2 linked regions of the Drosophila melanogaster genome follow. The protein of the gene in region 1 binds, or shares a complex with, the protein of each later gene. Each region holds a gene or a part of one and is shown on either strand. Other genes may lie near its edges. The genes, in order: snf and U2A. A codon is read from its position in the direction of its gene.

The links.
Region 2: the proteins of snf (region 1) and U2A are in contact, whole or in part, in a crystal structure (PDB 6F4J), measured with the Drosophila melanogaster proteins. Residues at the interface, in NP_511045.1 of Drosophila melanogaster: Ile18 (codon at 1,818), Glu22 (codon at 1,806), Lys24 (codon at 1,800), Lys25 (codon at 1,797), Ser26 (codon at 1,794), Tyr28 (codon at 1,788), Ala29 (codon at 1,785), Ile30 (codon at 1,782), Ser32 (codon at 1,776), Gln33 (codon at 1,773), Phe34 (codon at 1,770), Gly35 (codon at 1,767), Gln36 (codon at 1,764), Ile37 (codon at 1,761), Leu38 (codon at 1,758), Asp39 (codon at 1,755), Ile40 (codon at 1,752), Phe72 (codon at 1,656), Pro73 (codon at 1,653), Phe74 (codon at 1,650), Tyr75 (codon at 1,647), Asp76 (codon at 1,644); in NP_610315.1 of Drosophila melanogaster: Tyr15 (codon at 1,332), Asn17 (codon at 1,326), Pro18 (codon at 1,323), Arg20 (codon at 1,317), Glu23 (codon at 1,308), Asp25 (codon at 1,302), Arg27 (codon at 1,296), Ser50 (codon at 1,227), Leu70 (codon at 1,167), Asn72 (codon at 1,161), Asn73 (codon at 1,158), Ser92 (codon at 1,101), Ile94 (codon at 1,095), Thr96 (codon at 1,089), Leu121 (codon at 1,014), Ile122 (codon at 1,011), Leu144 (codon at 945), Asp146 (codon at 939), Phe147 (codon at 936), Arg148 (codon at 933), Lys149 (codon at 930), Lys151 (codon at 924).

What each region holds. Positions count from the first base shown.
Region 1 is NC_004354.4:5,307,098-5,311,222, reverse strand, and holds snf (sans fille), read right to left. Parts: upstream 1,982-4,125; 5' UTR 1,870-1,981; coding exon 1,517-1,869; intron 1,092-1,516; coding exon 794-1,091; 3' UTR 722-793; downstream 1-721. Other genes in the region: Cdk7 (Cyclin-dependent kinase 7), read left to right, coding at 2,329-2,394, 2,466-3,461; CG17764 (uncharacterized protein), read left to right, coding at 4,011-4,125. UniProt on the Drosophila melanogaster protein: Binds stem loop II of U1 snRNA. It is the first snRNP to interact with pre-mRNA. This interaction is required for the subsequent binding of U2 snRNP and the U4/U6/U5 tri-snRNP. Plays a role in regulating sex-lethal splicing.
Region 2 is NT_033778.4:7,674,862-7,677,883, forward strand, and holds U2A (U2A), read right to left. Parts: upstream 1,502-3,022; 5' UTR 1,375-1,501; coding exon 577-1,374; 3' UTR 501-576; downstream 1-500. Other genes in the region: CG12107 (uncharacterized protein), read left to right, coding at 34-229; LRR (Leucine-rich repeat), read right to left, coding at 2,781-2,873. UniProt on the Drosophila melanogaster protein: Involved in pre-mRNA splicing as component of the spliceosome. Associated with sn-RNP U2, where it contributes to the binding of stem loop IV of U2 snRNA.

The sequences.
Region 1 (4,125 bases):
CACTCCGAACATAACGACAACATATGTATGTAAGTACGATTGCCGGAGTGCAAGCATTGTGGTCACATAACCGATTCCCTGCTCCTTCTCCTGCAGCTCATCATTCAACAGACGTAACGGAAGAAAGCAATAGATATATATATATATATATACATAGACACACACACACACACACACACACACTTATCGATGTATATATATATATATATATATATAATACACACACTTATCCCAGATTTATTATGCACACTCATAATACTCATCATTTGTGGTGCCTAAAGTATGATGATTGCATTACAATTGTAAGCCTGATGATGTTGTTACGGCGGAGGAGGACTACGTCGCTGAACGATTCTACATATAGCAAACATTTTGGGAATCCGAGGACTTGTGGGACTTACTCAACACACGCTCCCGCACACCAAACTGATGTTGATTTTGCAGCGAGCTTGATACACCATGCAGACTGAGCAAAGGGACGCTATATATATATATATATATACTACTATACACCATATACTATACACTAAATGGAAATATGTACAATCGACCGACATAAATAATACGCATTACTAGCTGTTAGTTATAAGTTTGCAGACAAACAAATAGATCTACACAATAAACAATCAACTATTCTATTCTATACTTTTGCCTTTAAGGATCTTTGGGCGAAATGGGATATGGGAGGGATATGGGCATATGGAATACTCGTAGTTTGTTTGTTTATATCGATTTATTCTATAGTTTAAATTATTATTGGAGTTGCTGGAACGCCCGGCGACTGGAGTTGCGTTCACTTCTTGGCGAACGTTATCTTCATGGCGTGCGTCGGCGTAATCTTGAAGCCCTGCAGCGCCTCCTTGGCGGCATTGCTCTGCAACTCGGTGGTGAACTCCACAAAGGCGATGTCGTGACGATTCGGCACAAGACGCACCTCCTTGAAGCCGGGGAACTGATTGAACAGCATGGACAGCATCATCTCGTTGGTCTCCTCGGGCAGATTGGTGAGGAAGAGGATCTGGTTCGGCGGCTGCTCGGTCTGTGCGTTCGGGTTCGAGTTCTCGGCGCTGCTCGGCTTCTTCTTCTTGTCCCTGTGCGAAACGAAAAAAAAAGGAGTTGTCTTAGTGTCACATGAAGTTGCATTTTTTTTTTGCCTAGTCATTCGCACATCCCAGAAAACTAGGATTACTACGGATTTTTGTCGCGCAAAAATGAACAAAAATGAAACATTTTGCAACTGAAACTCAAATCGCATCGATTAAAGAGCAAAAAGGAGTTGATAACTAAAGATATTATGAAGACTTGAGACACCTCTTGGTTTTCAAGTCCATAATTCTGGCCAAAAACTAACATTGGTTAATGCGGAAATGTTTTTAGTAGCAAAAAGGATTTCAGGCGTGCGAATGAAAACATTGGGTTTTTGCGAGGCAACAGGGAGCAACAAATGGTAGCACCATGGCCGTTGGCAACAAATGATTGAATCTAAACGGGCCCAATTAGCAATTGGGATACTCACTTCTTCTCATCGGTACCCGGCGCTGGTTTTGGTGGCTTGACCTTCTTGGGGCGCTCCTTGAAGGTACCCTTTATCTTGGCCACAATATCCGAATCGGATTTGGAGTAGGCGATCTGCATGGGCTTGTCGTAGAACGGGAAGCCCTGCATGGTGCGCAGGGCATTCGAAGCGCTGCCGATCTCCTTGAAGATCACAAATGCCTGGCCGCGCATTTTGAGCGTTTTTAGGGCCACAATGTCCAGAATTTGGCCGAATTGCGAGAAAATCGCATAGAGCGACTTCTTTAGCTCCTCCTTCTTGATCTTCTCGTTCAGATTGTTGATGTAAATCGTTTGGTTGGGTAGCATCTCCATCCTGTCGTGCGTTTTATTCACTTAATTCGACAAAAATCAACCAATTTGCTCTGTATTGTTGAGAAAAAAAACGAGTCTGTCATCGATAGCAGAAGGCATCGTTTGGGGCGGTCTATCGATATGTTATCGCACCGGTGTTTGGCAGTGTTGTTAAACTGCACATAGCTAAAAGTAGCTAAAATTAAATGACAATCACATGCAGCTAATTTAAATTGACAGTTGTGTATTATTTGCATAACTTGTTAAACTATAAAATTGATTAGCAATAAAGGAGCAATACGCTGTTTTTGCATTATTCTTAATAGACTCTGAAATCTAGTATTTTTTTTGGGGCGCGCGATAGGCCCTACCGGCGTCCATCGGTTATCGGCCATCGATAGCGTTTGCGAACTTGAATTGTTTTGATTCGGCCTCGCAGCATTTCAGTCATTTTCGTGCTATTTATGAGGCTCCTAAACGATGCTGCCCAATGCGAATGACAAAACGGAACGCTATGCCAAGCTATCCTTCCTCGGCGAGGGTCAGGTGAGTCCGCCGCCACGGAATATCAACCCAACGATCCATAACAATGTGCGCATTCCACTTTCGCACCGCAGTTTGCCACAGTTTACAAGGCGCGCGACACGGTGACCAACCAAATTGTGGCCGTAAAGAAGATCAAGAAGGGATCGCGCGAGGATGCACGCGACGGTATCAACAGGACAGCGCTGCGTGAGATCAAGATATTGCAGGAGCTGCAGCACGAGAATATCATTGGCTTGGTGGACGTTTTCGGTCAACTTTCGAATGTCTCGCTGGTTTTCGACTTCATGGACACGGATCTGGAGGTGATCATCAAGGATAACAAGATTATATTAACGCAGGCGAACATCAAGGCCTATGCCATCATGACGCTAAAGGGTCTGGAGTATTTGCATCTCAATTGGATACTGCACCGCGATTTGAAGCCCAACAATTTGCTGGTCAACAGCGATGGCATCCTAAAGATTGGCGATTTCGGTTTGGCCAAGTCCTTCGGTTCGCCCAATCGCATTTACACGCACCACGTGGTCACACGCTGGTATCGTTCGCCCGAATTGCTCTTTGGCGCCCGACAATATGGCACCGGTGTGGATATGTGGGCAGTTGGCTGCATTTTGGCTGAACTTATGCTGCGAGTGCCGTTCATGCCGGGCGATTCGGATCTGGATCAGCTGACACGGATCTTTTCCACACTGGGAACACCCACGGAAGCTGAATGGCCGCATTTGAGCAAACTGCACGACTATCTGCAGTTTCGCAACTTTCCGGGCACACCATTGGACAATATATTCACCGCCGCGGGCAATGACTTGATCCATCTGATGCAACGCCTGTTTGCCATGAATCCGCTGCGGCGTGTGTCCTGCCGCGAGGCACTGAGCATGCCGTATTTCGCTAACAAACCGGCGCCCACAGTGGGTCCCAAGTTGCCAATGCCGTCGGCCATTCTGGCCGCCAAGGAGGGCGCCAATCCGCAGACCGGCGACACGAAGCCTGCGCTCAAGCGCAAGCTGGTCGAGACTACGGTGAGGGGCAATGGATTGGCCCAGAAGAAGCGGCTGCAGTTCTAGCACACACACACACACACACACACACACACACACCCACACACACTCACTCAGTTAACACACACTTTCCATTATAACATTGATGTTTGTGATCGCGTTACGTTGTTCACCGCAGACATGCACAATAAGTTCTATTGAAAGGCTTAAGGATGCATTGCATCCACTCCAAAAGCTCCACTCCATTCTAATTGATATGAATTTTTCTCGCTTGGCAAAACCTTTTCGCCACCCAACATGAGTTGTTAAGACTATGCTTAAGATGATTGAGGATGATCTATTAAAGATGTGATTGAAAGCGAGCGAAAATTGAGTAGTTAATTAGTAGTACATAGGATCCTGGTAGGTTGTGCAAAAGCTGTTCCAGTGCACGCTACCGTATTTATATTTCTGAAAACAAATTGGTAACCAAGTCAATCGACGCACATTTGAAACTCTCGAAATTCTCAGCGCTCGTTTCGGTCCGTGTTTTGTTTTGTTTTTTTTTTTTTTTTCCTTTTTGCTAGTGTTAACTAAAGATTTGCCGTATTTCGTTTTCCTGTTTGGAGTTAGACGATGTCAAAGGCGCAGCAACTGATGGCCAGGGACCAACAGGCGGCCAGGACGGAGGAGGAGGCGCGTCGCAAGCGCGCCGAGATGCGTCAAAGCTATGGTAACAAATTTTCCAGCA
Region 2 (3,022 bases), on another chromosome or scaffold:
TCACTTCACTTAATCAATCCAATGCGCCCCCAGATTCGCCGGCATCAGCTGCGGGATCGTCTACCTGTACGCCATAAACTTTCAGAACGTGGACGAGGACGCCTACGGAGGGGTATGGGAGCTGATCAAGGAGGGGTTCATGACGTCGTTTGCCGGATTCCTGGTCACGTGGATCATCTTCTACACTGGCCTGCACTACGACGCCATAATGGCGGCGAAAGGATCTTAATAACACTCCCCAGCAATACCGGATTCCAGGAGCCAGGTCCACACCACACCACTCCACTCTCCACATAAGCCAGCAGCTCCTCTCGTTTTGTGTCCCCTTTGTACTCGCTGTAGATTGTTAAACTTTTAGCCAATTACGGTCATGTAAATGCATTTCTGTTGTGACCGATTGTCCCGAATCTTTCCGTGAAAGATCCTTCGGCCAGCGGTCTTAGTTGAAAACAGAAGATTCTATATGTTTTTGAGTGTCCGAAATGCAGAATGCGATGAATCAACTTTTGGTGTTTTATTAAAAAATATTGGTCTACGGTTATAAGGTAGCTGACAGATGAGCGGATAATTCTAGTCCTAGTATTCCATGGCCACGGCCCCCGAACCGTTGTGCCCCGCCCCGTTCTGTGCCACCGCCTCCATCTCGTGCTGAAACTTATCCGGCAGCTGGCCGCTTTGCAGGATCTGCGATAGACGCTCCACCTCTGCCAGAGAGCTGGCCCGCTTGATGGCCTCGCGGATGCGCTGCATGTCCTGCGGATTGGCCAGTCGTCCGCCTTCCGATCCCCTTCCCTTGCCATTCCCCGCCTCTGCAGCTATGGCGGCTGCGGCGCTCATCTTGGACTTCCGGCTAATCTCCTTTAGCACGTCCTTGCCCTGCTTGGTGCGGAAGAACTCCTGCGCCGCCTGGCGGTCCTTCTGCTTGATCTTCCTGAAGTCGAGTAGCCGCAGCTGCGGGAACTTGTAGGCCATGTACTCGCGGTAGTTGGGCTTCGTGGATACCGGGTTGATAAGCAGGCAGATGGTTTCCAGCTTGGTGAATCCGACCAGGGGCTCTAAGTCGCTCAGCTCCTGCAGGTTGTTGCCGGTGAGAATGATGGAGCCCAGGTTGGGCACCGCCTCCTCCAGCCCTTCGCTGATGCGCAGGATGCGGTTGTTGTTCAGCAGCAGGCACTTGAGGCGCGGCAGATGCGGCAGGTTGTCCAGCTTGCGCAGATCGTTGTCGGACAAGTCGATGGTATCAAACTGGTCCAGAGTTGCGCCCAGGTTCTCGATTTGTGGAATCTTATAGCCGCGCAAATCCAGCTCGCGCTCCCGGCATGGGTTTATGTATTGCATCGACTGGTTTATCAGCTCCGGCGTTAGTTTCACCATCTTGGCAGTTATAGTATGCTTACGTTTGGTCTTTACTCGGTCTTTTTATACTCTTTTGAAGCTTATTTTCCGAAATGCAGAAAAACAATTCGCTGCCGACGCGAGTTGGTGATGAACAGTTTTCCGATAGCAAGCAATGCCGGCATCGCTATCGATAGATCTAGTGGTAACAATGTTTTGGTATTTTATCGGTCTGCTGGGCTTCTACCATTCTAAATATCGTAATAATACTGGGATTACTCCAATGCTGCCAATAGGGCCCCTGATCTTTCGAAATTCAAAAATAAATAAATAACACTACTGTCCAATATCGTTTCCGTTTAATTTGAATTTCAATAGATTACAATGATGTTTTAATTGCTTAACTTTAATGAACACGTTAAGTTTCTCTTATTTCGTTTCGGGGTTTTGAATGAGAACGGGATACACTCAAAACTCGAAGTGTGTGGTCGGTGGTGGACTGGTTTAAAGTTTAAACGCTGCTCTGAATATATTCTGTGTCGTTGGTGCAAACTACTAGATCATCAAAATTGAAGTTGATCGTTTTGCGATAAGGGTAATTAGTTTTCTATAGATTTCGGTTTTCTGTTGTTAAATGGCTTAGTAATTTTATATCGGTTTCGTTTTCGCCTAGTTTCTTAAATTGTTAACTATTTAGAAAATAATCAATAAGATCGTCGGTCTCCGCCTTGTTTCTAAATAAATGCATTTGTTTCTGGCGGCATAACGCGCCTCAAAATTTGAAAACGGATTGTCGCTTAAATACTATAAATACTATAAGTATGTGTATAGGGGAGGTAAACAGAAAAGGGGAAATAATAAACCATAAAGTTTGTATTTGGAAGCAGTTATAAAAAATATTATATTTCATTTAGATTTTTTTAGGTTTAGCCCATTAAAATAGTTCTTATACACTCAATCGAATTACATAATATGTATAGTGTATCATATTCATTGCGTTATTTTCGTTAGTTTCATTGAAATTGATGTAGAGCACACGCTAAAAATATTTGTAGATTAATTCTGTATATAATTGGCACTTAACTGATTTAAATACATAAAAATATAAAATATAGTACACAAAACATTTTTAAAAATATGCAAAGGTTAATTTGGATAAAAGTATCAGGGTTTGTATCAATAAATAAATCACGTTCATTCTAAATTGCCAAATGAAAACAACACACACGCGGCATTGCACATAAATTAATGGTTCAGTACGATAAGTTGCAACCTTGTTTCCCTCTATCCTTCTGTCTTCACCATTTCATCTCATTTCCTCCTTATCATCAGTATCATCACTTAACGTTATCATCAACCCTACTATCTATCACGTGAAACTGTGGCAGGTTGGGTGAAGGACTAGGGATCGACGTGAGGGAATGTTGAGCATATAACTAGAACACTTATAAATCAACGACATCCTCCTTGGTGTAGGTCGAGTCTCTAAAACCGCGTCTGGTCGCCATGCTCTGCTGCAGTTCTTCAACTAATGTCTCCTGTGGGTAAGTGGAAGAGTGATTCTATTAGACGGCTCGATTAAATAGGAGCTAAACAGGCAAACACAAACTAGATGAAATTACAGGCAAAATGCGGCATACTGGCTAATACGACACAACTTAAGGAATACACACTATGCAGCAAATGC